Linked DNA regions of Rattus norvegicus. The protein of the gene in region 3 interacts with the protein of the main gene of each other region in a biochemical or structural test. Links are inferred from orthologs where the notes say so. Each region holds a gene or a part of one and is shown on either strand. Other genes may lie near its edges. The genes, in order: Ncl, Srsf1, Top1, Topors and Nkx3-1.

Region 1 (6,187 bases), on a different chromosome or scaffold from region 3:
GATCCAATTTGATATGGTTATATCCAATTATAATTTGTATAAGCACCACATATGTATTAGGTGTTTGTTGACTCCACTGCAACACAAATTGTACTAGCTGTCCCTGCTGCTGCTGCTGCACTCAAACTTGTTCCTAAGTTAGGGCCTTGTGTGCACCTACCATTGAGCCACATTCCTCACTCCAGTTAGCAAAATTTCCAAACTATTATATGCCAGGCAATGGCTTAGGTACCAAGAATAAACAATCCGTGTTCTGTCTGGGTAAGGGGCAAATTAACAATAAACGCCCAAGTACTAGGCAACTGATAATACCTAACAGTGTAACCTAGGGTCACAAGAGTAAGTCTCTTAGTGGCACTTTACACCAGAGGGCTGAGGAAAGCCCAACAGATTGAATTGACAAAGAGAAGTCATGTCATTTCACACTCAGAGCTCATCTTCTCTCCTCCCGAATGCCTTTAGCTTGCTCTGCTTGGAAATATCCAGGTCTTCCTCACACCATCCTTCCTATCCCTCTACCCAAGAGTCTCCCTTGGCTCCATACTATACAGTTGAAGGTGTGACCGGTCTCACTTTAAAGACAATGCCCCCACACAACACTGGTCCGCATCACCTGCCCTGACTAGAGAGCACTTGTGTGTAGCTGTGGCTGCCCTCCACCATGTTGGGAAGGCCTTAGGAAGTAAGCATCACGCAGTGACTATTTCTACTTATCTCCAAAGGCCCGTGTTCAGATAGAAAACCCGGGGTCTCAACACATCCCACTTGAGTTAAAATCTCCCGAGGATGGCAAAGGAGGGGGCAGGGGTATCTCCGAGTTCGAAGGCAGCCTGGTCTAGAATGAGTCCCGGGGCAGCCAGGGCTACAAAGAGAAAACCTATCTCAAAAACTCCAATCAAGGGGTTGGGGATTTAGCTCAGCGGTAGAGCGCTTGCCTAGCAAGCGCAAGGCCCTGGGTTCGATCCCCAGCTCCGAAAAAAGAACCAAAAAACAAAAAAACAAAAAAACAAAAAACTCCAATCAAATCTTCTAGATTGGGCCGGGCGTGACGACGCGGGTCGAGGCTAGCCTGGTCTACACAGTGTGCTCTAGGACGGCCAGAGCAAATAGTGAGGCCCTATCTCAACCCCCACCAGCACCTCCACAGGTAATTTTTAATCGATATTGTCAGCTGATGAGGGCACCCGTTTGCTACGCTTGGAACCAGTTAGTGGCAATCCGTTTAAAGCAATCCAAGACAACTCTCTCGTCCTCTGCCACGGAGGGAACTCGTGAGCGGTCCCAGGCAGGCCGAGTACTTCTCCCACCACACACCAGGAAGTCACCTCTCTGAACCTGGAGTTATACCTACCGCGTGAGGTCAGAGATTAAATGGACTGTTTGTGCACTGCTCACACACACACACACACACACGCGCGCGCGCGCGCGAAATTGCTTTTATTAGGAGCTCTCAGGAAAGTGGTGGCTCGCATCAGGCTACCACAGCCAAGAGGACCGCCACCTCTACCGAGGGCAGGCCAAGGCCCACTAAACGGCCCGAATGAACTCTAGGCCTTCCGGCGCTCTCCAGCTCTTCAGCGCGGCGAACGTTCTAGGCCCCTGAGAAGTCCACCGGGAGGCGCAGGTTTCCGCTACGCAAGGGAAATCCCCGAGAAATGCCCAGACCACCTAAGCACAGACGTCCATGCGGCGTACGGATACCTGAGGGAATCCGGGCCATACCGCCACCTACTCGCGCCTCACTCAAGCCGCGCCAAACTCGCGCGTTTCACTGCGCAGGCGTGTAGCGAGCGGGCGCTCAGGAACACTCAAAGGACCAGCACACTGACCAATCAACGTCCGCCTTGGCCAAAACTAGTCCCGCCCTCAAAAGCAGACGTCAGGCCCTGCCCCTAAGAGCCCCGCCCTCCCCCACGCTTTAGGCCCGACCCACGCCGTCCTGGGTTAAGGCTCGCGGTTGGTTCGGGGGACGGACGCGAGCTCTGGTTGGTGGAGGTGAGGTCACGAGAACACCTTCGTCGCCTTTCCAGAGGCGATTACTGGGCAAGCTCAGTCTTTTGCCTCAGACGCTAGCTGTAGCTGGCAGGCGGTTGTACGTGCTCCAGAGTCTTCATTACCCGCCGATCCAGTCGTCTTCGCGTGGGTTCCGCTAAGCTCTTCTGAGCTGCTCGCTCTCTACACACGCCGTCGCCGTAATCCGCCATCATGGTGAAACTCGCAAAGGTAATAGGCCTGACGCGCGAACACGGACGACTAGGCCTGCTTTCTGAGAGACGCGCGCGCGCCCGTCGCGGAGGGGAGGAGGGCCTGCGCACAGTCCCGGGCGCGTTCGAGGGCGCCATGCTGAGGGAAGTCTCGCGCGACTAGCGGGAGGTCTCGCGGTGTTTGGCCTCTGACTTGAGGGATGAGAGGAGCCGAGGCAGGTTCTGGGAGGGCGATGTAGAGTGCACCGGGGCCGGGGGTCGGTGTGAGGGGAAGTCGGAGGAGTTGAGCGCGGAGAGGGGGTTGGAGGCTCGGCGAGTGAAGTGGGCCAACCTTAAGCGGCTAGCGCTCTCGGCCCCGCCTCCCGGCGCACGTGCTCCGGTGCGCGGCCCGCCACGTGGGTTACGGCGCTCCGCACGTGTCGCGCGTCCGAGGCAGTGAGGGGAGTGGGAGTACACCGGGAAAGGGGACAGTAGAGTTGGCCTAGTTACCTAGCGATCCGCAGTCCCTGACCGTGACGGGTAGATGGACACGTGGTGGGCTCCTGAGGTAGCGCGTGGTGACCGGCTAGGTGACTCCACGTGGTTTGGCTGTAAGCGTGAGAAAGTAGGAAGTAGCTCCGATACAGAGATGCTTTTAAGAGGTGCCTTCGAGATAACCCCCTTCCCCGGCAAATAGTTAAAATGGAACCTTTAACTGGGTTTTTTTCTTTTTTGTGGAACGTGCCAGAAAATAAAGTGCCACGACTAAGTAGACTTTAAAAACCTGTGGCTGTTTCCTGGTGAAGGTTTCTGTCTGTAAGACAAATTATGCGCAGTTCTCAGAAAAATTTGCCAGGAAGAGTGTCGTGCCTGGCCACGAGAAGTCTTTATGCTTGTGTTCTTTAGTAAGAAAGGAGGTGGTGGCCGAGGACAAAGTGGCTTACAATGCGGGTGATTTTTTTGTGTGCATTTGTAGGCCGGCAAAACCCACGGAGAGTCCAAGAAAATGGCTCCTCCTCCAAAGGAGGTGGAAGAAGATAGTGAGGATGAAGAAATGTCAGAAGATGAAGATGACAGCAGTGGAGAAGAGGAGGTAGGATGCTATTTGAAAAATTGTGTGATTTGCAGTGGTAGATTGACTGGAAGTGTCAGAAATAACAGTCAGTTCGGGGGGGTGTCTGGGCAGAGTTTCGTATGTTGTATTGAGTAGAGTTTACTGTAGATTTGTGGGGTGGTTTTCCCTCCGTTTTTGGGAAAATTGCTTATTCTAGCCTAATTTTTATTCAGTCCATGGTCACTTGGCTTTGTGAATTTTGGCAGGACATTATGACAGGAAGCTGTAGACCAGCCTAACCTCAGATAGGTTCTCCTGAATTAGGTGTTAGCCACAGTATCCAGACAAATGACAAGTTTAGTGAGAAACCCAGACTTTGATCTAGGTAGAGATGGAATCAGGGTCTCAGCTTAGGTGGTACCATGTGAGTTTTTTGGGGTTACCCCCCCTTCTATATATTAAGGGACTAAGCTGGACACTTTAGAGGAGAGGGTAGCCTTTTTAGATTCTTGTTCTCTAAGCAAAATTTATTATTCCCCGTATTCTTTATCTCACATGGTTTGTTTTTGCAATACTGGTCCCTATCACTGAGCTTCAGCTTATTTGAATCTTAATTCCAATCATTGTTCAAAATACATTGTATGGGTAGAAAGCTGCTAATAACCCATTTGCTAGATATGACATTCCCAAGTTTCATTTAAAGACAATCTAGCACACAGGAGACAGAAATAGGAGTACATAGTGAAACCTTATCTCAGGACAGTTTTTATGGTCATGCTCAATCAAATTTCTTAGAAAAGCTCAGGTGCTGAGTTAAGAGTCCAGTTTTTTAAGCATTGAAGGCCATGTATCCTTATTTAAGGGTTTAATGTTTATCTTTATGTGTGTGAGTGCATTAAGCATGCTTGGTCCCCTCATGCTAGAATAGAATGTACTTGGATATCCTGAAACTGGTATTACAGCTACATGTGGATGTTAAACTTGTTATAAGAGTAACAAGTGGGGCTGGGGATTTATTTAGCTCAGTGGTAGAGCGCTTACCTAGGAAGCGCAAGGCCCTGGGTTCGGTCCCCAGCTCCGGAAAAAAAAAAAAAGAGTAACAAGTGCTCTTAACTTCTGAGCCATCTCTCCAGTTCTTTACTTTTTAGAAACATATCTAATGTCTATCTTGTGTTAGTAACTTAACATAGCATTGGATATAGAGGAATGCTTATGATTTGTTTGCTTTCAAGGTTGTCATCCCTCAGAAGAAAGGCAAAAAGGCTACCACAACTCCAGCAAAGAAGGTGGTTGTTTCACAAACAAAAAAGGCTGCAGTTCCCACACCAGCTAAGAAAGCAGCTGTTACCCCAGGCAAAAAGGCAGCAGCCACACCAGCCAAGAAAGCTGTTACACCAGCCAAAGTAGTTCCAACACCTGGTAAAAAGGGAGCTGCACAAGCAAAAGCATTGGTACCAACTCCTGGTAAAAAGGGAGCTGTCACTCCAGCCAAGGGGGCTAAGAATGGTAAGAATGCCAAGAAGGAAGACAGCGATGAGGATGAAGATGAAGAGGATGAAGATGACAGCGATGAGGATGAAGATGAAGAGGATGAATTTGAGCCACCGGTAGTAAAAGGAGTGAAACCAGCAAAAGCAGCTCCTGCTGCTCCTGCCTCAGAGGATGAGGATGAGGAAGATGATGATGATGAAGAAGATGATGATGATGATGATGAAGAGGAGGAGGAGGAAGATGGTGAGTTAGAGCTTAGGATATTGAGTACTGCATGTACACTCCCTGACCATCATGGTTGGATTAAAAACTCATATTTTATGCTTTTAATTCTTTCCATAACTTAATGGGTTTTTATTTCCTTTTCAAGGTTTTCCTTTTTTAAGTATTTGTAGTGTTTATGTTGTCTGGATTGGTAGCAAATGCATTTGCCTACTGAGCCATCTTTCTTTCAGACTCTGAGGAAGAAGTTATGGAGATCACACCAGCCAAAGGAAAGAAAACTCCTGCAAAAGTTGTTCCTGTGAAAGCCAAGAGTGTGGCCGAGGAGGAGGAAGATGATGAGGATGATGAAGATGAAGAGGAGGATGAAGATGAAGAAGATGAAGAGGACGATGAAGATGAGGATGAGGAAGAAGAGGAAGGTAACCAGATTAACTTATAAAGTATGCTGACTTAAGTAATGCTTATTAATGGAAATGCTAAAAAGTCTGTGTACTCATGAATGACATTTTAAAACATGCAGAACCTGTTAAAGCAGCACCTGGAAAACGGAAGAAGGAGATGACCAAGCAGAAAGAAGCCCCTGAAGCCAAGAAACAGAAAATAGAAGGTAAGCCTGCAAAATTGGGACTTAAAAGGAGATCAGAGTAGCAATAGCACAAGTGATGACTAACAAAGGGACTTAATACTGAAACATCTGGGATTGAAATGCAGTATGCTGATGTGCTTTATAGTTTATGATGAAATTCACTTGTCGTATGCTTAAGTGGACTAAAAAAGCTCATTTTTTGTGCAGGCTCAGAACCAACTACACCTTTCAACCTGTTCATTGGAAACCTTAATCCAAACAAGTCTGTTGCTGAATTAAAAGTTGCCATCAGTGAACTTTTTGCTAAAAATGATCTTGCTGCTGTGGATGTCAGAACTGGTACAAATAGGTATGTTTTTCATTAAATGGTTTGTGTGTATCAGCTAGTATTTTTACCTTCCAGTTGTGTTCTTCCACGCCCTTAAATACTGGGATAGATAAGGCACTACAGTAATAAAGAGGTTAGATAGTAATGAACTAAATCATCAAATTATAGGACCTGCAATTTGAAGTCCTGTGTTTGACTTGGGGGTGTCAAATAGCAATTTTAAGAATTTTACATTTTGGGTAATTTTGCACTTTGGGTCTGCATAGTCACAGCAAATGCTTTTAGCTAAAAGGATTCTCAGTACTTACCAGGGTCCATGC
Region 2 (6,219 bases), on a different chromosome or scaffold from region 3:
ACCAGAAAAGGGCATCAGATCTCATTACAGATGGTTGTGAGCCACCATGTGGTTGCTGGGATTTGAACTCAGGACCTCGGGAAGAGCAGTCGGTGCTCTTAACCGCTAAGCCATCTCTCCAGCCCAATATACACTTTAAAAACATAAGAAAATGTGTATTTCAATTCAAATTACTCAGGCTCTACCCCAACATCACCTTCCATGATAGAACTCTGCTAAGTAACAATTTTGCTGATTATAGAAAAACAGAGGACCCTAGCCCCCTTCCTTTTGAGACATGTCTCTCTACATAGTCCTGGCTGTTCTGGAACTCACGACATAGCCCAGTGTGGCCTTGAACTCCCAGCCAGCCTCTCAGCACTGCTTTATGAACTATGGGACTAAATGCATGCCTCACCATGACTTTGAATCAGTGTTTTACATAGATCAGCTCAGCCTTGAACTGGGAATAGAGGATAACCTTAAATTCTTTATCTCCCTTCTTCAGCTTCTCCAGGGCAGAGACACCAGCCACCCATACTCACCTTTAAGATTTAACAAAAATTTCACTTTTCAAAAAGGTGGTCCTAAGAGGGAGGAGGGCTAGCCTAAGAAGTTGAAGGGGACCCTGACTCAAAAATCAAACAAAAATCATTTTTTCTCCTTCCCCACAAAAATCTCTCATTTCCCCCATATTTCAACAAATATCTTTGATCATTTCAAATTGAGTTTGTTTTGTTTTATTTTGGTCACTAAGACATTTACAAAATGCAATTTTGTTGTTTTTTGAAGCAGGGTCTCATATGTAACCTAGACCTACAGTGTTTTCATTATTTTCCTTGTTATCTAAACCTGAGTGCTGAGATTATCCATGTGGGCTCCCATGCTTGCTGTAAAATTCATTTCAAAATTGTTTAATATTTAATATTTCAAAATCACTTAAAATTTGAATATACTATGCTCTCCTCTTCTTCTGGGGATACTAGTCAAATTTGAAGTTGATCTCTCAAAATTCAACAAGTTATTTCAGGCATTTTGCCTAGAAATCTTATACAACACTTCTGCCCCTCCCCCATCCCCGTTGTCCTTGATTTCTCCAGCCAGTCTTAATATTTAATGGTTTCATTTTAAGCAGCCCTACATCCCTGGACTGTGGTAAATAAATGATAATGTATAGGGGCAGCAGATGGCTCATCTGATAAAGATGCTCCTCAAAAGCCTGACCACACATAGTGCAAGTGGTGAACTGCACTTTATTTTCTAACTTTCACACATGGGCTGGGGCATGACCCACCACCCCAAGGCACAATATGCATAAAATAAAATTGAAAACTAAAAATTACAGTGTAGAGAATCAACCTTAAAATTTCCGGGGATCCGATTTAGCATACTTATTCGAGATAGGAACTGCACAGCTCTGGCTGGCCTTGAACTCCTGAGATTCTGAGGCCTACTTTGAAAGGAATGCGCCACCACACCTGGCTGTCTTATTATCTAAACAGGAAAGGTTCTGGTTTTAGCCAGGAGGTGGTGACTCATCTTTGATCCTAGCACTTAGAAGGCAGCAGGATCTGAGTTCCAAAACAGCCAGGGGCTGTTCAAACCAAAACAGAAACCCGAAACTCAAAAACAATGCCAAGAAAAAGGTTTGTTTTTAAAAAATTTTAATAGAAAGGGTTTCCCTGCATGTCCCGGGCTGACCTTTAATAGAAATGTGTATCACAGAGTAGGTTTATCACCTCCTTGCCTCAGCTCCCAGAGTGATAGGATTTCAGGCACACAGACTTAAGTCCAGCTTAGTTTTGTTTTAATTAAAAAGCCTGTATGATTTCACAAATAAAACTCTCCTATTCCCGTTATTACAAAACAAAGAAGCAAAATTGTGGTATCCAGTACAAAAATCCTATTTCAGATAATCTCGGGGAAAAAGTTATCTCCCTAGACTAGCACCGAACCCGGATCTCGGCCCAAAGAAGCAGTTAGTATTTTATCACGTTTCCTTTTTCATCCTTTGAAAGGAGGAAGAAAAAAAGCGAAGGCACGGTTCATCTAAATAGATATGGAGGATCCGTCTAGACACTTTTAACTGTGTAAAATGCAGCCCACCGCAGGTTCGCAGAAGCAAAAGCCACACAGCTCCCCTTAGGCTGTTAAACGAATCTCCTGCAACTCGGCCGGCCGCACCGAAGTGCTAAAGTTGCCCAGGTTTCCGGAGCAACACCCAGCGTCATCTAGCTCCGCCCCCTACGCCTTTCCCGCCAAAGGCCGTTACCACCGCGGAGCATGTTGGGACACAGTTGCAGGCTAGGTTTCACCCAATCTTTTTAAAGCGCCGAGCTGCTTCCAGAGAGAGTTTACGCCAGAGGAAACCGACTATCCTGGACTCAGCAGGATTGGTAATAACCCCTTTAACCAGAGTATGTGACTTTTACCAAACGTCTGGCCGCTCCACCAGCCAATCATCCCATAAGCCCAGGACCCGAGGGACTTTTTCCCCTCCGTGCGGAGGGTGACGTCGCGCGTGCGCGAGCGTACTTCTCAGCACCCGTTACGCTCGTGCGCGTGCGCACTGAAATGGAATAGCCGCTTCCTCCGGCTTCTCTTCCTCCCCCTCCCCCCCATATCAGTGCGCCGAGCTGATAAAGGCGCCATTTTGGACCGGCCGCGGGAGACGTGGTGCCGCTGAGGGCTCGCTCTGCCGTACGCTAGGCTTGGTGGGAAGGCCTCTTTTCGAGTCCGCGCTTTTCGTCGCCGCCATGTCAGGAGGTGGTGTGATTCGTGGCCCGGCAGGGAACAACGACTGCCGCATCTACGTGGGTAACCTACCTCCAGACATCCGAACCAAGGACATTGAGGACGTGTTTTACAAATACGGCGCTATCCGCGACATCGACCTGAAGAACCGCCGCGGGGGACCGCCCTTCGCCTTCGTTGAGTTCGAGGACCCGCGGTGAGGCAGCGTGGGGCTTGCGGCCTTGAGGAGATAGGCTGGAGTAGTTGGGGAAGGCTCCGAGGCCTTAACATAATGGGGGAAGGAGGGGCTCCGAGGCTGGGAGCGAGGCGCTATCGCCCCTGCAGGAGTCGAGTAAGGAGCCGAGTCGGCGCGTTGTCTCCGGTGGCTGACCGCCTCGGACGTCCCCAGAGCCCATGCGCAGCCCCGGAGCGGGAAACTGAGGCGCTGAGGGCTGGCGTGGTGGTCGGGAGTCTGCCCGGCGTGTTTCTGGGTGGGGGAGGGGCCGGTCCTATTATGCAGCGCATGTGGGCTCTGGCACCATGGGTGCGCATGTGCGCTGTCCGCGGGTTCCCGAGTGAGTTAGCTTTGCCAGCGGCTCCCTCCTCATCCCCTTTGCTTTCTGTGATCACACGCAGAGACGCGGAAGATGCGGTGTACGGTCGCGACGGCTACGATTACGACGGCTACCGTCTGCGGGTAGAGTTTCCCCGAAGCGGCCGTGGGACCGGCCGAGGCGGCGGCGGGGGTGGAGGCGGCGGAGCCCCGAGAGGCCGCTATGGCCCGCCATCCAGGCGGTCTGAAAACAGAGTGGTTGTTTCTGGTGAGTTGACTTCGTGCGGGTTAAAATTTTTCCCGCGTGATTGTTTTGAGGTCTGCAAGTTTTCTGTTTTGCTTTAAACATGGGGTCTTAAACTACTTCGGTCTTTCGGGTGAATTTAGTAAATGAAGATTACTGTGGTGGTGATTTACCCAAATTAGGTTGCAGTACTAGCCTATGAAGATCCTTTACAAATAAATTTGGACTCTGGATCTGACTCTTACCAGCTCTTTACCTGGAAACACTTAAGTACAATCATTAAGTATTTTAAACTAATCTTTGTTTTAATGTACTTACACGTTTGATGTGGGACAGGTTAAGTAGTATTAAGTTGGAGGGACTCACTTTTTCAGGACTGCCTCCGAGTGGAAGCTGGCAGGACTTAAAGGATCACATGCGTGAAGCAGGTGATGTATGTTATGCTGATGTTTACCGAGATGGCACTGGTGTCGTGGAGTTTGTACGGAAAGAAGATATGACGTATGCAGTTCGAAAACTGGATAACACTAAGTTTAGATCTCATGAGGTAGGTTATACACTTATTCTTTTTTTTGGCCAGAATTGGATACAGTTTTCTTAACAGTGGAATTTGAAGGTAAGGATACAGGCAAGGGTGTCCGAGTAAATTACCAGAGACCTGGTCTGTCTTTGTATTCATTCAGCTTGTCTGAAAGACAGGTAAAAGCTTAGATCTTTCAATGGAAAGTTCTGTCTATCCAATAGGGAGAAACTGCCTACATCCGGGTTAAAGTTGATGGGCCCAGAAGTCCAAGTTATGGAAGATCTCGATCTCGAAGCCGTAGTCGTAGCAGAAGCCGTAGCAGAAGCAACAGCAGGAGTCGCAGTTACTCCCCAAGGAGAAGCAGAGGATCACCACGCTATTCTCCCCGTCATAGCAGATCTCGCTCTCGTACATAAGATGATTGGTGACACTTTTTGTAGAACCCATGTTGTATACAGTTTTCCTTTACTCAGTACAATCTTTTCATTTTTTTTAATTCAAACTGTTTTGTTCAGAATGGGCTAAAGTGTTGAATTGCATTCTTGTGTAATATCCCCTTGCTCCTAACATCTACATTCCCCTCATGTCTTTGGTAACTTGTATTTTAAGTGATGTCATAGACAGGATTGTTTAAATTTAGTTAATTTCCATGCTCTTCAGACTGTGATATTATGTAAATGTCTATTCTGCTCTGGTTTGTGTGAAATGGGATGTTGGGGGTGTTTGTGGTTATCTTACTTGGGGAAGTTCTTATGTTTATCTTGCTTTTCATGTGTCTTTCTGTAGACATATCTGAAGAGATGGATTAAGAATGCTTTGGATTAAGGATTGTGGAGCACATTTCAATCATTTTAGGATTGTCAAAAGGAGGATTGAGGAGGATCAGATCAATAATGGAGGCAATGGTATGACTCCAAGTGCTATTGTCACAGATGAAATTGGCAGTATTGACCTTATACTAAAAGGCGAGGGTTAAAATTTTATCTACCTTAAAAGACTTGCAAACATCTTATGCAGTTATCTTCAGCTACAATTGCTTTGCTTTTTAAAACCTTGGCAATTGTGGCAAAATTGCCCGTTTTGTAACAGTTATTTGCTCCCTTCCCCCCTTTTTGTTTTAATAGGGACTAATGTGGGAAGAATGGCTAATTTGTCACAGTGCTTAGTTACAACTGTTAATGTGTGGCCTGCTGTTGGTGTACATGTGGGTACAGGGTGTCTATTTCCAAACAGAGTATAATATCAATACTGCTAAATCTGCATGTCCTCTGTGTGACTGATAGAGCGTTGTTATTTCATTTTTTAAAGACAAAAATGACAGCAAAATATAGAATTCCAACATATTAATGTAGATAATCTAGTTGGGAATACTTTTGTCTCACTTTCCCTTTTAATATTCATAATTGACTCATGTTTAGAACACTTTAATTTACAAGCTAAATTGCAGATGGGAGCAATAGATTTAGTTTAGATTTAGGTGGGTAGTAATACCAGTAAACTTCAATTACATAACTTTGCAACCACAAAACCTGTGATACCTGTACAGTAACAAATGTTGGCATTATCAGTTGAACTGTAAATATAAAGTGCTTCTTCCAGTTAGTCTCTGTAGTGATTAAGTTTCTAAAATTTATCTGAACACCATACAGAAAACTTGTTTTGGGGAATTTGATAGTTATTGATGTACATCTGTAAACTGATGACAGACATAACTCATCATTCCCCAGAAACTTTTTTTGGTTACAGTATCTAACATTTTGCCTCCTCTTTTTTGGTTTTGCTGGTTATAAAGGTTTGGATTGGAGAGGGCTCACTGGATCCCAATCCTTGGAGCTGGATCATTGGATTCAAATCATAATGTGGATAGGATAGGGAGGATGAATTACCAGGATTCATGGAGCGGGATCAGATTACCAGGAACATAGGAGTGGATTCCTTCCTGCCCCAACCAAACCGCATTCGTGTGGATTTTTTTTCATTCAACTTAATTGGCTATTCCAAAGAATTTTTTTCCTATTTTTGACGATTGGAGCCCTTAAGATGCACGATGGAATTGTGTTTTGCATTTTTTGGTAAAAGGAGCAAAGCGAGGACCTGGAGATATACGCTGGAGCAATCTCCTTGGAAGGATTCAGCACGAGTAGATGGTAAACATTTAAAGGGGAAAAGGGGGGGTTTGCTTTAAAT
Region 3 (6,225 bases):
TCATTGACTACCCTTCCAGAGAACCCAGGCTCAATTCCACCACAACTGTCTGTAATTCCAGTTCCAGGAGATCTGGCACCCCTCCCATAGATATGCGGGTAGTCAAAACACCAATGCATGCAAAACGTAAGTAAATTAAAAAAAAATATTTTGGAGACACTGCAGACTTAAGCATCATACAGGTACCAGCGTATTGAAGATTCTAAATAGAACCCCAAGAAAAGCTCTGTTTAACCTTAAATCCCAGTCATGCTTGGGAGACAGGCATACGTCATCATCTAGTCACTTTTATGAAGGCCGAGGTGGTCTATCAGCGAATAGTCTTGAGTTAAAACACTATTTTCCAAGCCTGATCTATTTGCCTTAAACCTCCTTGGAGTATGTCTTATATTCCCTCTCTGTACTATTCCTGGATTTTTTTTTTAAATAAATAAAAGCGGTCTCATTATGTAACGCTGGTTAGCCTGAAACTCACTATGCCAGGCTGGCCTCAAACTTACAAAGATCCCCTTGTTTCTGCGTGTGGAGTAGTGAGTTAATTAAAGGTGTGGGTCACCACGCCCAGCTGAATATTTTTATTTAAAATTAATCACCCAATATCTAAAAAAAAAACTTTAGCTTAAACAGTTATTCCATGGGTTTTATGTGGCAGTTAAGTGGTTTTTTTTCAACATACACATTGAAATAGATACACGTCCACTTAAAAAAAAATGTCAAAGTTCGTCTGTGTAGGACCAAAAGTCCTCTCAAGCGATAAGACCATGCGTGGGATCATTAGTTGGAGAAGAGAGTGGTCACGTGGACATCACTAGCCAAACATGGAGGCAGAGGTGTTTAATCTATGGCCCGATGATGGGTAGGCATGATTGAGTCTAATACACTACCACCTTTGATACACCATTCTGGAGCCTGCATTCTGTTTCTATGTCTAGCTGGACTTCCTGGGAGGGATCTGGAAAGCCAATGACGATTATCCCAAGTTACCAGGGGCTGGAAGCTAAAGCAGAGGACTATTTTTCTTGAAGGCTGAATTATCTCAGCCTAACTGCAGTAAATGGGTGGGAACCAGATGCCTCGCCTGCTGGCCCTTTGACATGGGAAGGCTATTGAGGAGAGACGCTAAGCCAGGCAAAACTGACTCTGGCATATGGCTACGGAGAAAGAGCAATGGAATCAGGCAGGCCTAAATATTAGATGATAGATATTTTCTACATGCCCCCCAACAAGGTCTTTTTGTTTGTTTGGGATAGTTTATTAAAGACAATTATCACCGGGAGTCAGAGTGGTTAAACAACTTGTCCAAGGTCACTCAGAATAGGAAAATTCTGCATGGGAAAGCAGAATTCAAAAATGGGCCAGTTGACTTCCAAGTGTGGACTCTTAGCCACTGCATTACTGTACTTGCTTTTGCTTATTGGGCTCTTCTGTCAGAGGACCTGTTGATGAATCCTGGGGACTAAGTGCTGAACAAGATGGAGAGGTCCTCACCCTCACTGACCTCGAATTATATAGAGACAGACAAGAGGTCACTAGCTCCCCTATGAGTAACTTAAAGACTGTGGTAACTGTTATAAAGGAGAGAGGTAGGAAGGATCGGCATGTGGAAAGGGGCGTTTAGTTGAGTTTTGAAGTATTTACAAGAATTAATCCCAAGTGATTATCTCTCATAATACGTTTATGAAGGTTTTCCGAATTTATTTATATTTTGACTTAGGGGGGAATTGAGCCCGAGTGGAGATGAATTCAGCCTACGATCCAAGTGTTGATGTCATTAATCCCTCAAGACAGTAGATGGTCCACACCTAGGACTGTGAGGATTCAGGGCAGATCTCACAGCATGGTGCTCCCTAAATAATAGTTCTCTCCCGGGGTAGCGTCCTGAATAGAATCAGGAACCATTTACCTGGGGAATCCAATTCCCTTTGATCTGGAACCGCAGCCCTCCCACATCAACAGTAATTCCTGGCTCACTGTAGGTGCTTCATAAATATTTGAAAAAAGAACAAATGCAGTAGGGCACTTGTGACACCGGGCTACATGTATGAGTTTGTACCCTGGAGCTAAACCTGACTGAAAAATTAAAATAACTTTAAAAAATGGACGTGAAGTAATCCAGAAGTCTGAGGTCTGGACAAAGGCTGTGAGAAGACTCCAGCTACATGTGCCTTAGGGCCGCTGGTGAGCTGAGATCCCGGTAGCTAAGGTACGCGCGGATCAAACTTGTCTGGTTCTAGAAATGCAGAGGCTGGAGACTCGGTCCCTGCCCAGCCCAGCTGGGTCCCGCCGCGGCCTTTAAAGGCCTACCACGTGGCTGCACGGGTGTCCAGGGTCCAGAGGCGGTGTCCGCGCTGCGCCTGCGCACTGCCTAGAGCCGGCGTACCGCCTCTGAGAACGCCAGCCCGAAGCAAGGCAGAAAGCATAGGATGGGAGGAGCCAAGGCCATATGCTAATAAAGGGGCGGAACTTGCAAGGCAAAACCGGCTCTGTCTCCCGGACCTCTAAGAGACCCGCCGCAACCCTCAGCCTCTTTCCACGAGCGCTGACGTCGGCGACGTCCCATTTAAAAGCGGCCGCGCAGGCGCAGTGAGGGGAAATGCGAACTTAGGCTGTTACACAACTGCTGGGGTCTGTTCTCGCCGCCCGCCCGCCCGGCAGTCTGTCAGCAGCGTCGCCGCCGCCGTCGCCGCCTCCTCAGCTGTCCCGGGGAGTCTTGGGCCCTTGGTTGCTGTCGCCGTCTGTTCGTGCCTCTCAGGAGCTCCGTCCGCCTGTTCAGGCCGCCCCGACCGTCCGCCTCTCTTCCCCGCGCTGCCTCTGAGCCCGCAGCGTTCGCACGCCGGCCGACATGAGCGGGGACCATCTCCACAACGACTCCCAGGTGCGACCCGCCGGCCCCGATCTCGCCGCCGGCCGCCGGGTTCCGGCTCCAGCCCCTCCGGCCGCGCCGGGTTGACAGGCCCGGTTCCGCGGTGAGGGGCAGCCGGCTGGAGTCGCTTGGATGGTCGGGCCCCGGGCGGAGCCGTCAAGTTGGAGTTTGGGGGGGATGGCAGCCCCGGGTAGGCCATTCGCGGGCCTCTGGGTTCCGGGGCGCCGGGTGGGACCGAGCCCGGGCCCCCGGCCGCGCGCTCTCGCTCGCCGGCCCGGGGCTTCATGTGCGGGTTGTTTCATCTTCCCTCCTTTTCTTTCCTCAGATCGAAGCGGATTTCCGATTGAATGGTGAGTGTGCCCCCCGCCCCGCCCCGAGTGTCCCCACACGCCGCTGGCTGCCTCCCCCGCGCCGGGCCGGAGCCGGGCAGAGGACAGACATGGCGTCCCAGAGACTAAGTCCCGGCTCCTCGCTCACCGGCCCCATTGTTCCCATCGGGCCGCCTGTGGACCCCCTTTCCCGGGGCCCCAGCACCCCCAGATCATGGCCTTCCCCAGAGGGGACACTGGAGACCCCGCGTCGCCCGTCGCTGGGTCTCGGGCGGCCTTTCTCCGCCGGGATTCTTCCCGGGAAAGTCGCCTTGTCGACGGTCGGGACTTAGTCTCTGCGCCATTTTCTTTTTCTCTCTCCTCTCCTTTCTGTGCCTGTGTCTTTCTCTCCCTCCCTCGGCTCCTTCCTTGAGCTGTCCAGAAAGAGCTTTCTGCAGAGCAGAGCCATATAAATCACAGACCTCACCAGAGAAGGAAGGCTTAGAGACGAAATTATCATTTTTCCTTCTTAATAGAACTTTATTTTGGAAGTTACTTGCTTTCTGCTTCGTGTTTGCTTGCTTTTTTTTTCTTTTTCTTTTCTTTCTTTTTTCTTTTTCCTTTTTTTTTTTTTTTGTGTCTGTGTGTGCTTCCAGAATGAAAGATTCCCATAAGGGTAGCTGTTGGGTTTTATGGGCTTTTTTTTTCGTCTTCTTAATTTATTTTTTAAATGGTGAGATGTTTACGATAGCAGTTATGGTTCTTAAAACTAAAGCCATCTTTCATGGAGTTCTTTGTATTTGGGGATTGTTTTCCCAAGTTGTGTTCTTTGCAAAGATACCTCCCTTTCAAAAAGTTTTCAAGTTGTCTGTGTGTCACCTAGTGTGAGTGTTGGACTTGAGCATATTTTCTTTTAAAAAAAATTAAAAGTATTAGTGACTAGAACTTCCTATTGTGGCTAGGGTTCCCAAGGCAGGTTTTTTCCTTTTTCTTTCTCTCTCTCTTTTTTTTAAAGAGACATAGTTTAGTGTGCTCGTCCTAAGGAAAGGTTGTTGAGCTAATCATTTGGACATGATGTGCTGGCCTTTTCTTGAGGGTCATATGGAGTTTTTAAAGGGGTCTTATTTATTGAAGCAGAGTGGCCAGCCCTGACTCCTGTCCACTTGCTCATTCTTCTCAGGGGCTGCTGTTTTTTCAGGAATCAAGAATTAGCTAGCTTTCCCACACCCTTACACTTTTGAGCCCTTTCCAGTCATTTGTTTTTTTAAATATTTACACCGGTTACCCAGGAAAGAATGTTCCTGGGTATCTCCCACCACCCCAGTAAGAAGCTCCCATTTATGAGTTTTCCAGCAATTCCATTGTAGTATACTGGAAATTCCCACAGATTCTTATGGCACATGATCGTGTTCAGTTGAGTTTGGGTTCTGGGGAACTGAGTGAGAGAAGCCATTGGGTAAGCTTTTCTGGTGCAGAAGTCCATAGTACTGGTCTACCCAACAGAAAGCAGCCTTACCTTTATATTTTGAAGTGGGTCACCCAAAGAGAGATGGCACTGAGTTAGAAAATCTGTCTATCTAGGTAAAGCTATGCTTTTCTTGAGCACCTAATATGTGTCAGTACTGTGCTTAGTACTAGAATTGAACCTGTCACCACATCTGTCTTTGTTCAACTCAGCCTACTGGGGGGAGTCATTAGTTAATTACAAGGTAGGTGTTGGAGTATGTATATGTGTACCCAAAATGCTTTGGGAGCATAAAGGGTTTAATTTTATCTGGGGGTGGGTAATTTCAGAGGTGACTGAGCAGGGTGTTGTATAAGACTGGGTGCTGAGAATCGTCAGGGGTTGGATTGTTTCTTGGGAGTATTTGTCCATCCTGTCAGGCTTTTAAAAGAGGGCTATGAGACCATCAAGCATATAGATGTGCTTCTTTGAAAAGGGGGCAGAAAAGGATGTGGTAGGTATAGATGTAAAAAGTGGTTCTGAGGGAAGGTAGGAATTAAATATAGAAAAAGTGTTTGCTCTTTAGTTGAGCCTAGTACGTGTTATATTTAGCAATGAAACAAAATTGAGCCTTTTTTCCTCTTAAGTTTAACTTCCATTGTTCTCATTTAAATACAAAAGAGCTATTGAATGTGTGCATAGTTATGGTCTGGGTATGTTATCTTTGCATTTTTATAGAGTGAATTAAACTGCCTGTGCTAACTTTTAGGCTATTTTTCCATTTTCCAACAGTGATATTTAGTATTTATTGAGCACCTGTCAGGCTTGAATCTCAACTCACCTGATTTACTCTTTGGAAGGACCCTTATGAGTTAGTTACTGTTATCTCCATTTGAGATGAAACTGAGTGTACTCTAAAGCCATGAACCTAGCCTCCCTCCGTGCAATAGGGATGCTGCTGCTATGAAGAAATGACGTTTCCTGTTTTGTATAGGGCAGTTAGAGGGAAAGGGAAATACTGATGGCAGGCCATCTACTTTTTGCCAAAAATTTGAAGACAAAAGCAGTTTTGTGTGCCTACTACCTTAAGGTTCTGATGCTGTAGTGATGTCTTTGTAGTTATTGTCTAGATGTTAGTGTCAGTAACTTTGCTCTTTCAAGTATACACTGTGAACTAGTGAGTGATCAAATAAATATGAAAGACAATTTAAAAAAATTAAAGCTAGTTTTTTAATACCAGGCTTAATTGATCTTTATAGTGAGAGGATATTTAAATATGATTTTAAGTGTGCCTGAACAATCACATTAAAACCACCTTAATTTGCTTGCCCAAATCCTCTAAGGTGTAAAAGACTTCCTCCCAGCCCCCATTGTGGATACTTAACATTTACAGCCTTTTGTGTGAAATTTAGAACATTCTGGGTAATACTCAACTGCTGTGAAATGTTATTTGTGTAGTATATTTATATTGAAGATTTTAGCAATGAGCTAGTCATTTCAGGAGCATAGCCCAGACTTCATACTTCCCTCTCACCTGAATGAAAAAGGTTCCTTTTGTCAGTAGCACTAGCCATAATGGGGGTGAGTCATTACAGGATGCCTAGCTGTAC
Region 4 (5,461 bases), on a different chromosome or scaffold from region 3:
AAATATTGTATGAAAGTTCAGAGGTCTACTTGGTCTGTTCTTTTTCCCTTCGTTTCCCTTTCTAAGTCCTGGGAATAGAAACCAGGGCTACCACTGAGCTATTATGTTCATTCCCAGGTCTGGGCTGTAAGTTTTATGTGAATTAGAAATGTTCAATAAACACTAAAATTCTGCCATTCAGAGAAACAAATTAAGATAAAATATGCTCTGTCTTGAACTATACTGATCTCCCCCCCCCCCCCAACTCTACTCCATTGTGTTAACTAACTAAAATCAGTGCAGATTCCTCTGGCTTTTAGAGCTGTGTTTAGTCAAAGCCTGGGTACCAGTCCATATTCCCTCATCTGTCCGTTTCTTCCCTCTCTGCTGTTTGTGTGCATTGAGCACTTACTGTCTACACTACAAAGGAGAGGTTTGTTTTGTTTTGTTTTGTTTTTTGTTCTGTCTTTTTTCCCCATGTCTACCCATTCACAATGCAGACCAGGCACAGTGGCCTGGTGAGGTGTACACAGGGCACAGTGGCCTGGCTGAGGTGTACACAGGGTGCAGTGGCCTGGCTGAGGTGTACACAGGGTGCAGTGGCCTGGTGAGGTGTACACAGGGCACAGTGGCCTGGCTGAGGTGTACACAGGGCACAGTGGCCTGGCTGAGGTGTACACAGGGCACAGTGGCCTGGCTGAGGTGTACACAGGGCACAGTGGCCTGGCTGAGGTGTACACAGGGCACAGTGGCCTGGCTGAGGTGTACACAGGGCACAGTGGCCTAGCTGAGGTGTACACAGGGTGCAGTGGCCTAGCTGAGGTGTACACAGGGCACAGTGGCCTAGCTGAGGTGTACACAGGGTGCAGTGGCCTGGTGAGGTGTACACAGGGCACAGTGGCCTGGCTGAGGTGTACACAGGGCACAGTGGCCTAGCTGAGGTGTACACAGGGTGCAGTGGCCTGGTGAGGTGTACACAGGGCGCAGTGGCCTGGCTGAGGTGTACACAGGGCACAGTGGCCTGGCTGAGGTGTACACAGGGCGCAGTGGCCTGGTGAGGTGTACACAGGGCGCAGTGGCCTGGCTGAGGTGTACACAGGGCGCAGTGGCCTGGCTGAGGTGTACATAGGGCGCTGTGGCCTGGCTGAGGTGTACACAGGGCGCAGTGGCCTGGCTGAGGTGTACACAGGGCGCAGTGGCCTGGCTGAGGTGTACACAGGGCGCAGTGGCCTGGCTGAGGTGTACACAGGGCGCTGTGGCCTGGCTGAGGTGTACACAGGGCGCTGTGGCCTGGCTGAGGTGTACATAGGGCGCTGTGGCCTGGCTGAGGTGTACACAGGGCGCTGTGGCCTGGCTGAGGTGTACACAGGGCGCTGTGGCCTGGCTGAGGTGTACACAGGGCGCAGTGGCCTGGCTGAGGTGTACACAGGGCGCAGTGGCCTGGCTGAGGTGTACACAGGGCGCTGTGGCCTGGCTGAGGTGTACACAGGGCGCTGTGGCCTGGCTGAGGTGTACACAGGGCGCAGTGGCCTGGCTGAGGTGTACACAGGGCGCAGTGGCCTGGCTGAGGTGTACACAGGGCGGGTTCATTCTGCCTCTTTCTTTCTTTTTTTTTTTTTTTTTCTTTTTTTTCGGAGCTGGGGACCGAACCCAGGGCCTTGCGCTCGCTAGGCAAGCGCTCTACCGCTGAGCTAAATCCCCAACCCCTCTTGGTTTTTTTAATGTCTTAAAAACCCCTTTTTCTGAGTGGGTTAATTAAAAATAGAGAGAAATGAAGAGTTCTAAAAAGAAAGTGGAAATATCTGAACCATTAAAGAAACATTTGTTTGGATTAATTGACCTCTTAAGGTATGGTTCTAAGAAAGTCAAGATGACGTAAGTGAACACACTTTATTATTTTTTTTCACGTGGAGGAGGTTTATTGGAGTGGCGGGGATGGGGGGTAGGGAAGAGAGGGAGAAGAGAGGGAGAGAAAGAGTAGAGGCCAGCCGTGAGCATGTGGAGAGAAGGCATTCCCTCTGAAGAGGTGGAAGAGGAGCACTATGCTCAGAGAACTGTAAAGAAAGGATTGTTTTCATATGTACAAGATGGTTAGTAGAGCGTTTAGCACAGCAAAGGGTTAATGGGTGGGGGGGCTGAAATACATGTTTGGTTTCAGCCTCGGCCAACTCATTCCGGAAGTAAGCTACAACGTGATGTGATAAATATAGAGAAACTGATCGTTAACATTCTGGTGTGGGGTGCAGACAATGAGGAAGGAAACACCAAGCATGTAATACACCTGTGGCTTCACTCTTAGATTCAGCAAAAAAGAAAGGTTAGCTCTGGCCTGTGTGTACAGTCAGCGCACTCAGGAAGCAGAGGTGGTAGTGTTGCCTAAGGTTGGGAGGGCAGTCTGGGCTACACAGTAAGACCCAGTATCGACATAACCAAGACAACAGCGAAAGGAGCTGTGGAGGCTCCTTAGAAACACTTAGGAATGATCCACGGTTGAGCATAATGCATGGTAATGGATGGCTGTCTGTCTCATGCAGTCCCCACAGCTGACACTCACTTAGCTGCTGCCTTCCGCTGCTTTAACACTGAAAGACCATGTTTCAGTCAGGCTCTCACTGAAAACTAGAATGTGCTTAAACAGGTGAAATCTCTCAAATGTAAAGTACTTTGTAAAAGCTGTTTCAGAAAAGTTAATGTACTGTATGACGTGCAAAGTTACGTACACATAAATTGTTTCGTATGCTGTTTTATATAAATATACAGTATATCATGAATAGAGTAAATCATTAGAACATAGTGTTAGAGGTATATGTGTCTGACAAACACAAAACCATACATGAAAACATTAGAGGACAAGAGGGGTTTTTCTCTTTTCTTTTTCTAATAGCCCAGTCTAGGATGGGAAGATAGTGGTCACAACATCTGAGATAACTGGCTCACTGGAAGGTTACTCATTAAGTCTGAGTGAGGAACATAGGTACCTGTTTGCTTTTGTGCTTATGTGCTGTGTCAAATACTTAAAGACTATGTAGGCTATGGTATGATATCTAAGAGCTTACCACGTACTGGTTCTTTTCCTAACACTTGAGGGTACAAAGAGAATTGGATCGTAGGAAACTGATCTTGGAGCTCGTCTGTTGTTAGGCTTTTATTATGTACTGTCTTTATGTTAAAACCATTTTTGCTGAAGTATGAACCGAGTCTTCATGAAGCTTTTTTGTTTAGTTACCCGATTACTGAGTTACTGATCCATTTCTTTCCCTTTTACAGATAATGGCCTCAGCTGCCAAGGAATTTAAAATGGACAACTTTTCACCTAAAGCTGGCACTAGCAAACTGCAGCAGACAGTACCGGCCGATGCATCTCCTGATTCTAAGTGTCCTATATGCTTGGATAGATTTGATAATGTGTCTTACTTAGATCGCTGCCTACATAAGTTCTGTTTCCGCTGTGTACAAGAGTGGTCAAAAAACAAAGCCGAGTGCCCACTGTGTAAGCAGCCCTTTGATTCCATTTTCCATTCTGTGAGGGCTGAAGATGACTTCAAGGAGTATGTGCTAAGGCCTTCCTACAATGGTTCTTTTACCGCCCCTGAGGTTCGAAGATTCCGCTACCGGACAACTATGACGAGAGAACGGAACGCCTCTCTTTACTCTCCCAGTAGCACTGTCAGTAGAAGAACAAGCACTCCGCCAGACAGTGGAGTGCTGTTTGAAGGGTTAGGCATCTCAACAAGACCTAGAGATGTTGACATTCCTCAATTTATGAGACACATGGCATTAAGGGGGCCAACTGCTACAGATGAGAGGTCTTTGCGGAAAGTTCAAGAACAAGATATTATTAATTTTAGGCGCACTCTTTATCGTGCTGGTGTTCGAGTTAGAAGTATCGAAGACGGTGGCCGCTACAGGGATATTTCAGCTGAGTTCTTCCGTAGAAATCCAGCTTGCCTTCACAGATTAGTTCCTTGGTTAAAACGTGAGCTTACCGTTCTTTTTGGAGCCCATGGCTCGTTAGTCAATATTGTCCAGCACATCATCATGAGTAATGTCACTCGCTATGATTTGGAGAGTCAGGCATTTGTGTCGGACCTAAGACCATTTTTGCTTAATCGAACTGAGCATTTTATACACGAGTTTATCAGTTTTGCTAGATCTCCCTTCAATATGGCAGCTTTTGACCAGCATGCTAATTATGATTGCCCTCCTTCATCTGAAGAAGGCAGCCGTTCTGATTCTTCAGTTATTACAATATCACCAGATGAGGCTGAAGCCCAAGAGCTAGATGTGAATGTATCCACCATCAGGCAGGCACCATGGGATGATGAAACTCCTGGACCGTCATATTCAAATTCAGAGCAAGTGCATGTTGGCGTGTCTTCCCTTTTAAATTCTTCGGACAGTTCAGATGAAGAACTTGTTTCTGGAGGAGCCGCATCTCAGATACAAGGAGTACAGGCCAATGACGACGTAAACAATGACAGCGATTCATCATCAGATAATTGTGTCATTGTTGGGTTTGTTAAGCCATTAGCTGAACGGACCCCAGAACTTGTTGAACTGTCTTCTGATTCTGAGGAGTTGGGCTCTTATGAAAAAATGGAAACAGTGAAGACACAAGAACAGGAGCAGTCTTACAGTTCAGGTGATAGTGATGCTAGTCGAGCTTCATCTCCGCGTTCTGTCCTTGGAAAAGATGAGCAGATGGGTAAAAGCCATTGTGATTCGGACACAAGAATAAACTCAAAGAAAGAAGAGAAACGATCTACGTCATTGTCAACTCCCAGGGACAGCTCATCTACAAGAGGTGACAGGGCATGTTCCCCATATAACCATCGACATAGGAAGGGAGGAAGATCCAGGAGTTCAGATTCCCGTTCCCAAAGTAGAAGTGGACATGATCAGAGGAATCACAGGAAGCATCATGGGAAGAAAAGATTGAAGAATAAGAGATCCAGAAGCAGGGAGAGTAGTAGCAAACCTAGAGCGAGAAAGGACAAAAAGAGATCAAGAACTAGAGATAGCAGCTGGTCAAGAAGAAGCCAGACCCTTTCTCTAAGTAGTGGAAGCACTAGTAGATCAAGGTCTCGTAGCAGTGATCATGGCAAGCGAAGATCACGAAGCAGAAATCGAGATCGCTATTATTTAAGAAATAATTATGGAAGCAAATACAAGTGGGAATATACTTACTATAGCCGAAACAAGGACAGAGATGGTTATGAGTCGTCATACAGGAGGAGGACTCTTTCAAGAGCCCATTATTCTAGACAATCTTCAAGTCCAGAATTTAGAATTCAGTCTTTTTCTGAAAGAACAAATGCCAGGAGGAAGAACCACAGTGAAAGGAAATACTACTACTATGAGAGGCACCGATCGAGGAGCGTGTCGAGTAATAGGTCGAGGACTACGTCAGCTGTCCCTGACCGGATGAGAAATGAGAAGCCTGGAGGGAAGCGGAAGTACAAGACCCGCCATTTGGAAGACA
Region 5 (6,043 bases), on a different chromosome or scaffold from region 3:
TAGCACTGTACCTATGTTAGTGCCTGAAATGAAGAGACTGACAAGAGCTAATAAGGATTCAGATAACTGACACTCGTTGCCTATGGAAACGGTGGCATGGTCACGGTCATGCAGAAGAACAGCTAGCCTGTTACTCTGCATCTCTTGGTTCAGTTATTTTTATTTCTAACCATTGTGACCAAATATACAACAGAAGTAATTTAGGGAAGGAAGGATTTACCTTGGTTGGTGGTTTGATGGTATAGTCTGTTAACATGGGAGGAGCATATTCAGATCTCAGTCAGCCAGAAGACACAGAAGAGTAAGCCGGCATTCAGTTTGCTTTCTCCATGTTTCCCCCTTTGCACACTTAAGGTGGAATTCTGCCCCTCCCTGCCACGGTTAACCTTCTCACAGGCACACCCACAGGTAAGCCTCACTAAAACTCTGATCAGGTTGGTGATCCAAAGGAGCCACCTACCCCCTCATTGCCCAGCACAGCAACTGCACCCCTGGGCAGAGAAAGGAGACTTGCTGCACTAAGTCTCTGCCATTCCAACCAAAACCCAGATGCAGACCAGTTAAGTGAAAACCATGTTTGCTGTAGTTTATGAGTCTAGAACTTCGAGCCCAAAATTAGGTGGCCTAATTGGGTGCAGTACAACAACATGAGAGGAGCATGGGCTGGTGGGAAAATTCATACACTGGGGCCAGGAGAGGAGGGAAAATTGTAGCTTACGATCCTTATGTCCTCAACGATCTGAGGACCTGTCATTAGGTTTCATCTCTTAAAGGTCCAAAGCATCTCCAAAGTACCTCCCTGGGGAACAGCATTTATGTGTGGGCCTTGGAGGAAGAGGAAATTCTTCACACACACACACACACACACACACACACACACACGAGCGCATATACACTAAATAAATAATCCTATCATGAGGGACATTCAAGTTGTTATTTCTGCCATTCCCAATAAACCTATAACTTCATATATATACATATATTATATGTGTGTGTGTATATACATATATATTTTTTAAAGGAAAATAAGTCTAGGTAAAATGCGGAGGAAAGCTAGCTTTTCTGAAGGCCTTCCGGTTATTCATCTCAGTTTCCTTCAGCAGTTGCTGTATTCTCAAGAACCTGTTCCTCTTTCTTCCTCCTCAGACATACAATGTAGTACCCTGCAGAGCAGATTCTAGTTGAGTCCTCATGCCTTAGACCACATCAGACTCTAGTTGCATCCAGTAATTAAAAAAAAATCAACGTGGGCTTCCCTCAGTTTCCACTGAATGTTACTATTTTAGCAAATTTCTTTTATCAGATAGGGTCTGTTTACCAACCCAAAGCAGTGCCCCGAACCACGTGACACTTAAGTGACAGACATGGGGAGCCCCGACTTGAGTGTTCGTTTCTTTTGTCACTTTAGTTTGTGTGGTGGTGGTGGTGGTGGTGGTGGTGTGTGTGTGTGTGTGTGTGTTGTTTGTAAACAAAGACAGGGCCTCACTATGTAGGCCTGGCTGTCCTGGAACTCCCTGTGTAAACCAGGCTGGCCTCCAAATCACAGAAATCCACCTACCTCTGCCTGTCTTCGCTGGGATTAAAGACACGCCACCCAATACAGCTTGAGTGTTTATTTCTTAAGTATATTCTTTACTGGCGTTACAGCATATGGTCAACTCAGGAAATGAAACACTGCTATACAACTTTGACCTTCCCTAATATACTTTTGCTGGTTGTCCACATGTGTCCAGCTGGGAATCCAGCGTGGGGCCATCGTGAGCCTGATTGTCAGACCTAGAACCACTCAGTAGATAGGTCTGACTTTGTTATCAATCTCTCTTGCTATCTGAACACAATTGGGGTAGGTGAAAGGACCTGCCTGCTCAGCTCAGTGGGCCAGGACGTTTTACCGATCTATGAGAGCTACTCGCAGGTCTTCCACATCGCGAATCCAGTAAGAGTTTGGGGTCTGTGGCTCATCTGGGAAAGGGAATGAGGGGATAACCAGGAAAGGCTAAGAGCGCATCTGGAGCCTACTCCGCGCAGGGCTCGCCTCTTGGGGGGTCACCTGGAGCCCACCGCAGCCAATCGGGGCGCAGCCGTGTTCCCGCGGCCAATGGGCGGGCGGCGCGGCGCTCAGCATGGCTATAAGTGCGCGCGACCTAGCGATAGCAAAAGCGGCGCGCAGTGGAGGCGGGATGCTTAGGGTAGCGGAGCCCCAAGAGGCACGGTTGGAGGCGGGTGGTCGCAGTCCCTGGGCAGCGCCACCCACGCAGTCCAAGCGGCTCACGTCCTTCCTCATCCAGGACATCCTGCGGGACCACGCAGAGCGGCGTGGGGGACAGCCGAGCACCCCGCAGCACCAGTGCCAACCAGACCCTAAGAGGGATTCTGCTTCAGAGCTCGACGAAGCAGAGGGTAGCAGTGTGACTCTGGAGGACCCGCCAGGTATCCGGTCGAGCCCCACAGAGACACGGGCTGAAACCGAGTCAGGTAAGTGGAATAGACCAAAGGGCATGCTCCACAGGAGAGGACGCTCTCAGGCTGATGGCCACGAGCTCTGGATACAGGCATCCGGGAGTGGGGGTGGGGGAATGGCCACAGGAAGGACCTCAGGGTCCTCTGCACCGAGCCACCTTGAGCATCAACCCTGAGGGCAGCTAATAACTTTGTCATAGGCTTGACTCTTTTCCAGGGGCTCCAGCCATTTTACCACTGGCTACTAGAACTAACGGTAACCATCAATAAATCAAGGCCACTCCTAGGTTCCTTAGGTCTCCATTCCACAAGCCATAAAATTATTGATGTTCCTTTAGGACTTTAGAAATAGGATCGATTACGCCTTTATCCCACCCCAGCCCCAACCATTTTCCATGCTGGTAACTAAGCCACAGTCACAGAAAGGGGACTAGGGCAGAAAATGATCTGTTCACCATCCCAGGCTACCTGCTCATCTCCACAAACCTCAGTCACCCACTTAAATGTCCCCACAATGCCTCGATGCCTCGGTCTTCCCTGTTGGCACGTCACCCACCTCTCTTTACCTCATACATCCAGGATCCACGTTTCACTGATGTAAAACAAGGCAGAAAGTTCAACTACGTGTACTTCACACTGATTATTAGAGGCGAATACATAGTATAAAAACCTACTTGCTTCTTCGGGGTAGTTCCTTAGTCATGCGAACAAAGCAAAATGTATCCAGATGACAGTGGGCTTTTTGTTCCCTAGCTGAACACAGAAAGGTGGCTTGAATTCTGGGCTAACATGTAACTCTTTTCTTCTCTCCTCTGTTCTTCTCCAGATGCACATTTTGAGACTTATCTGTTGGACTGTGAACATACTCCAGTCTTATCAAGTGCCCCCCAGGTCACCAAGCAGCCACAGAAGCGTTCCCGGGCTGCTTTCTCTCACACTCAGGTGATTGAGTTGGAGAGGAAGTTCAGCCATCAGAAGTACCTGTCCGCCCCTGAAAGGGCTCACCTGGCCAAGAACCTCAAACTCACCGAAACCCAAGTAAAAATATGGTTCCAGAACAGACGCTACAAGACTAAGCGAAGGCAGCTGTCAGAAGACCTGGGAGTCTTGGAGAAGAACTCCACATTGTCTTTGCCAACCCTGAAAGATGACAGCCTATCCAGGGCCTCCTTGGTCTCCGTGTATGCTAGCTACCCCTACTACCCCTACCTATACTGTCTGGGCAGCTGGCATCCAACTTTCTGGTAACAACAGTTCAGATGACAACTGCATAGATCAGAAACTGCCTTCCCTGGGGGTCCCTGGGAAAAAGCCAGAGTGGCTGATGTCAAGGAGTTGAAAGCAAGAAGTGTACAGACACAAACTGTTGGGTGTTCCCAGGGAATACTCCGATTCTTCTCTGGTGGCCAATGAAAGATCTGGGGCAGTGGACATTTTATTATGTAGTCACAGTTCCAAGTGTTCTGTAGGTCACGGCTGTCAGTTCCCTGTTTAGAGAGAGCTAGACAAGTTCAAGTCTTATTTCCAGAGCTTAGAGTGGCTATGGCTGCAATGGCTACATCGTTCCTAAGAATTCTGTTGCTGCAATTTCATCCTCTCCCATAACTGGGTATCATGAAAGGGCCAAGCAAGGGGAGGGATGGCCCCTTAGATGAGGATTTCCTCTTGAATTAAACTTGTGTTTAAAAGTCTCTTGTTGGCCTTGGACTCTGACCAGAGTTTCCCTCTGCCCTTGTAAAAGTGAGGGTAAACGGGAGATTTGAAGAAGGGGAGAAAAAACCTTAGTGATTAAGCAGGTTGGCATAGGACATGAAGGGGCTGGAAGGTGGCATTTTCAACTTCTTACTCCTTTTGCAGTGATGTGCCAATCCAAGGATTTACAGGGCAGCCTGAGTGCAGCAGGGTACATATACTGAAGGGGGTTAAGACAAGCTGTGTAAACAGTTTGCCTGCAGGGGTGGGCTTCAGAACAGACTTCCTGTCCAAGACAAGGGCCTATGGGGTTTCCAAACTCCAGGTGAGCTGCTTCGGTCATGACATTTTATTACCAGTGAAGGGGGAGGGGAGATCTTAGACTCAGGAGATCCTGCAGCTTCCCTGGTCTGAGAATTCACACCTCATTATGACAGAGGTGCCATCATTTTTAAACAAAGGATCTTCCTTCTATTCTTTTATTTCTTGTTCTTTCTTACAGGACTCCTCAGTTCATTGTTTTCATATATGCCTGTCTTATTTAGTGTAAGATTTGCTCCCACCACCTCCCAAGTTTTATCTTTCCCAGTTTAATAACTAACTAGCTTCAGACAGATTATGAATTGACTAAATGACATACTTAAAAAAAACCTAGCAACTCATCTCTTTCCTTTAAAAATATGACATACTTAAAAAAAAACTAGAAACGCTATCTCTTTAATTTAAAAATACTTAGCATTAAATCCCAAACCCTACTTAAAAGACCACGAGAGCTGAAGATCATGGTTTCTTTCACAGGACTTTCTGCTGGCTTTGTGCCCATTGGGGTCCCTGTAGGCACAGGAGATCAAGGGGCATCTGCTTTTCATACATAAGGAAGAACAGGACAAAAGGAAGGGCTGGCACTGCTGACAGGTCTGGGAGAGAGAGGGGTCTTGGCCCAGGCATAGCTGTCAGCCCAAGCCAACCAGCAAGCAAGGAGTGATAGCTTTGCAGAAAGATGCTATGAGGAAAGGTAAACTGTCTTCAAAATACAACCTCACTACAGCGTCCATCCACAGATGAGTGTGTAAATGCTTTAGAAAACTGTGTTTAGGGGCTTCCCTAAAACGGGAGGAGTGAAAAAGAAAAATGATTGCCCCTCCCTTTCCATCCTGATACCTCAGTGCTGAGTGGGAGATACAGAACACACCTATAACAAATGAGGCTTTCTGGGGCCAGGAAATCCCTTTATCCCACCACTCAGTACTGTGCAGTGAGAAAGCTTTTAATTTCCTCCTTTTAAATGGGCCAAATTACCGTTGGTGGCAAAACTGCCAAAGGGAGTTGATGGAAATTTGGCCTCTTGCACCCCGTTCTTTTACAGCCCCATGTTAAAATATTGTTCGGTGCCGCTTGTTGCTGACTGCTGTGGCAGCATTAGACCACACCAAAGCTGGAGGGGTCTGGTTCACTTCTCCCTATCTGTCTTTTGGCCCTGACTTTCTCTTCTTTCACTCTGACTAGAATCTGGTTTTTTTGGGTTTTGTTTTTTTTTTTTTTTTTTTTTTTTTTTGGCATGCACTTCCATTAAGATTAAACTATTAGAGCGTGCAGTGTGTGGCAAGGTCAGAAAGGGAAAGGCTTGTGGTTAAAATTATTTGTGTGTGGGGGGGTCTGACTCCATTTTGGTTTCTTCCTACTGGAGCTAATCATTCACCCACACCCGAACTGGTAGAAATATGACCTGTTGTCTCCAGCATGTGAGCTGGAAAATGCTTTGGGAATCACCTGGGTAACATATTTCTGTCCTGTCTCATCTGTTGGTTAGCAAACCCTGCTCTAACATAAAAGTCCTTCACTTGACATTTAGAAGAGTACTCTAATCCAACTTTATTTTTCTATGTTGTTT

What was found.
Region 1: the proteins of Top1 (region 3) and Ncl form a complex in vitro, tested with the Homo sapiens proteins (2 studies listed by BioGRID and IntAct). The link is inferred for Rattus norvegicus from reciprocal best matches to the Homo sapiens genes TOP1 and NCL.
Region 2: the proteins of Top1 (region 3) and Srsf1 form a complex in vitro, tested with the Homo sapiens proteins (2 studies listed by BioGRID, with this or other methods). The link is inferred for Rattus norvegicus from reciprocal best matches to the Homo sapiens genes TOP1 and SRSF1.
Region 4: of the proteins of Top1 (region 3) and Topors, one has a biochemical effect on the other in vitro, tested with the Homo sapiens proteins (2 studies listed by BioGRID). The link is inferred for Rattus norvegicus from reciprocal best matches to the Homo sapiens genes TOP1 and TOPORS.
Region 5: the proteins of Top1 (region 3) and Nkx3-1 form a complex in vitro, tested with the Homo sapiens proteins (2 studies listed by BioGRID and IntAct). The link is inferred for Rattus norvegicus from reciprocal best matches to the Homo sapiens genes TOP1 and NKX3-1.

The regions. Positions count from the first base shown.
Region 1 is NC_086027.1:94,451,976-94,458,162, reverse strand, and holds the start of Ncl (nucleolin), read left to right. Parts: upstream 1-2,079; 5' UTR 2,080-2,205; coding exon 2,206-2,223; intron 2,224-3,159; coding exon 3,160-3,276; intron 3,277-4,469; coding exon 4,470-4,971; intron 4,972-5,183; coding exon 5,184-5,372; intron 5,373-5,473; coding exon 5,474-5,560; intron 5,561-5,605; exon of another isoform or gene 5,606-5,677; intron 5,678-5,746; coding exon 5,747-5,888; intron 5,889-6,187. UniProt on the Homo sapiens protein: Nucleolin is the major nucleolar protein of growing eukaryotic cells. It is found associated with intranucleolar chromatin and pre-ribosomal particles. It induces chromatin decondensation by binding to histone H1.
Region 2 is NC_086028.1:73,333,887-73,340,105, forward strand, and holds the start of Srsf1 (serine/arginine-rich splicing factor 1), read left to right. Parts: upstream 1-2,611; 5' UTR 2,612-2,735; coding exon 2,736-2,929; intron 2,930-3,348; coding exon 3,349-3,533; intron 3,534-3,883; coding exon 3,884-4,056; intron 4,057-4,253; coding exon 4,254-4,448; 3' UTR 4,449-4,818; coding exon of another isoform or gene 4,819-4,857; 3' UTR 4,858-6,219. UniProt on the Homo sapiens protein: Plays a role in preventing exon skipping, ensuring the accuracy of splicing and regulating alternative splicing.
Region 3 is NC_086021.1:169,710,542-169,716,766, forward strand, and holds the start of Top1 (DNA topoisomerase 1), read left to right. Parts: upstream 1-2,653; 5' UTR 2,654-2,842; coding exon 2,843-2,875; intron 2,876-3,188; coding exon 3,189-3,213; intron 3,214-6,225. UniProt on the Homo sapiens protein: Releases the supercoiling and torsional tension of DNA introduced during the DNA replication and transcription by transiently cleaving and rejoining one strand of the DNA duplex.
Region 4 is NC_086023.1:60,185,373-60,190,833, reverse strand, and holds part of Topors (E3 ubiquitin-protein ligase Topors), read left to right. Parts: intron 1-3,246; coding exon 3,247-5,461. UniProt on the Homo sapiens protein: Functions as an E3 ubiquitin-protein ligase and as an E3 SUMO1-protein ligase. Probable tumor suppressor involved in cell growth, cell proliferation and apoptosis that regulates p53/TP53 stability through ubiquitin-dependent degradation.
Region 5 is NC_086033.1:50,881,485-50,887,527, forward strand, and holds Nkx3-1 (homeobox protein Nkx-3.1), read left to right. Parts: upstream 1-2,176; 5' UTR 2,177-2,180; coding exon 2,181-2,475; intron 2,476-3,286; coding exon 3,287-3,708; 3' UTR 3,709-4,769; downstream 4,770-6,043.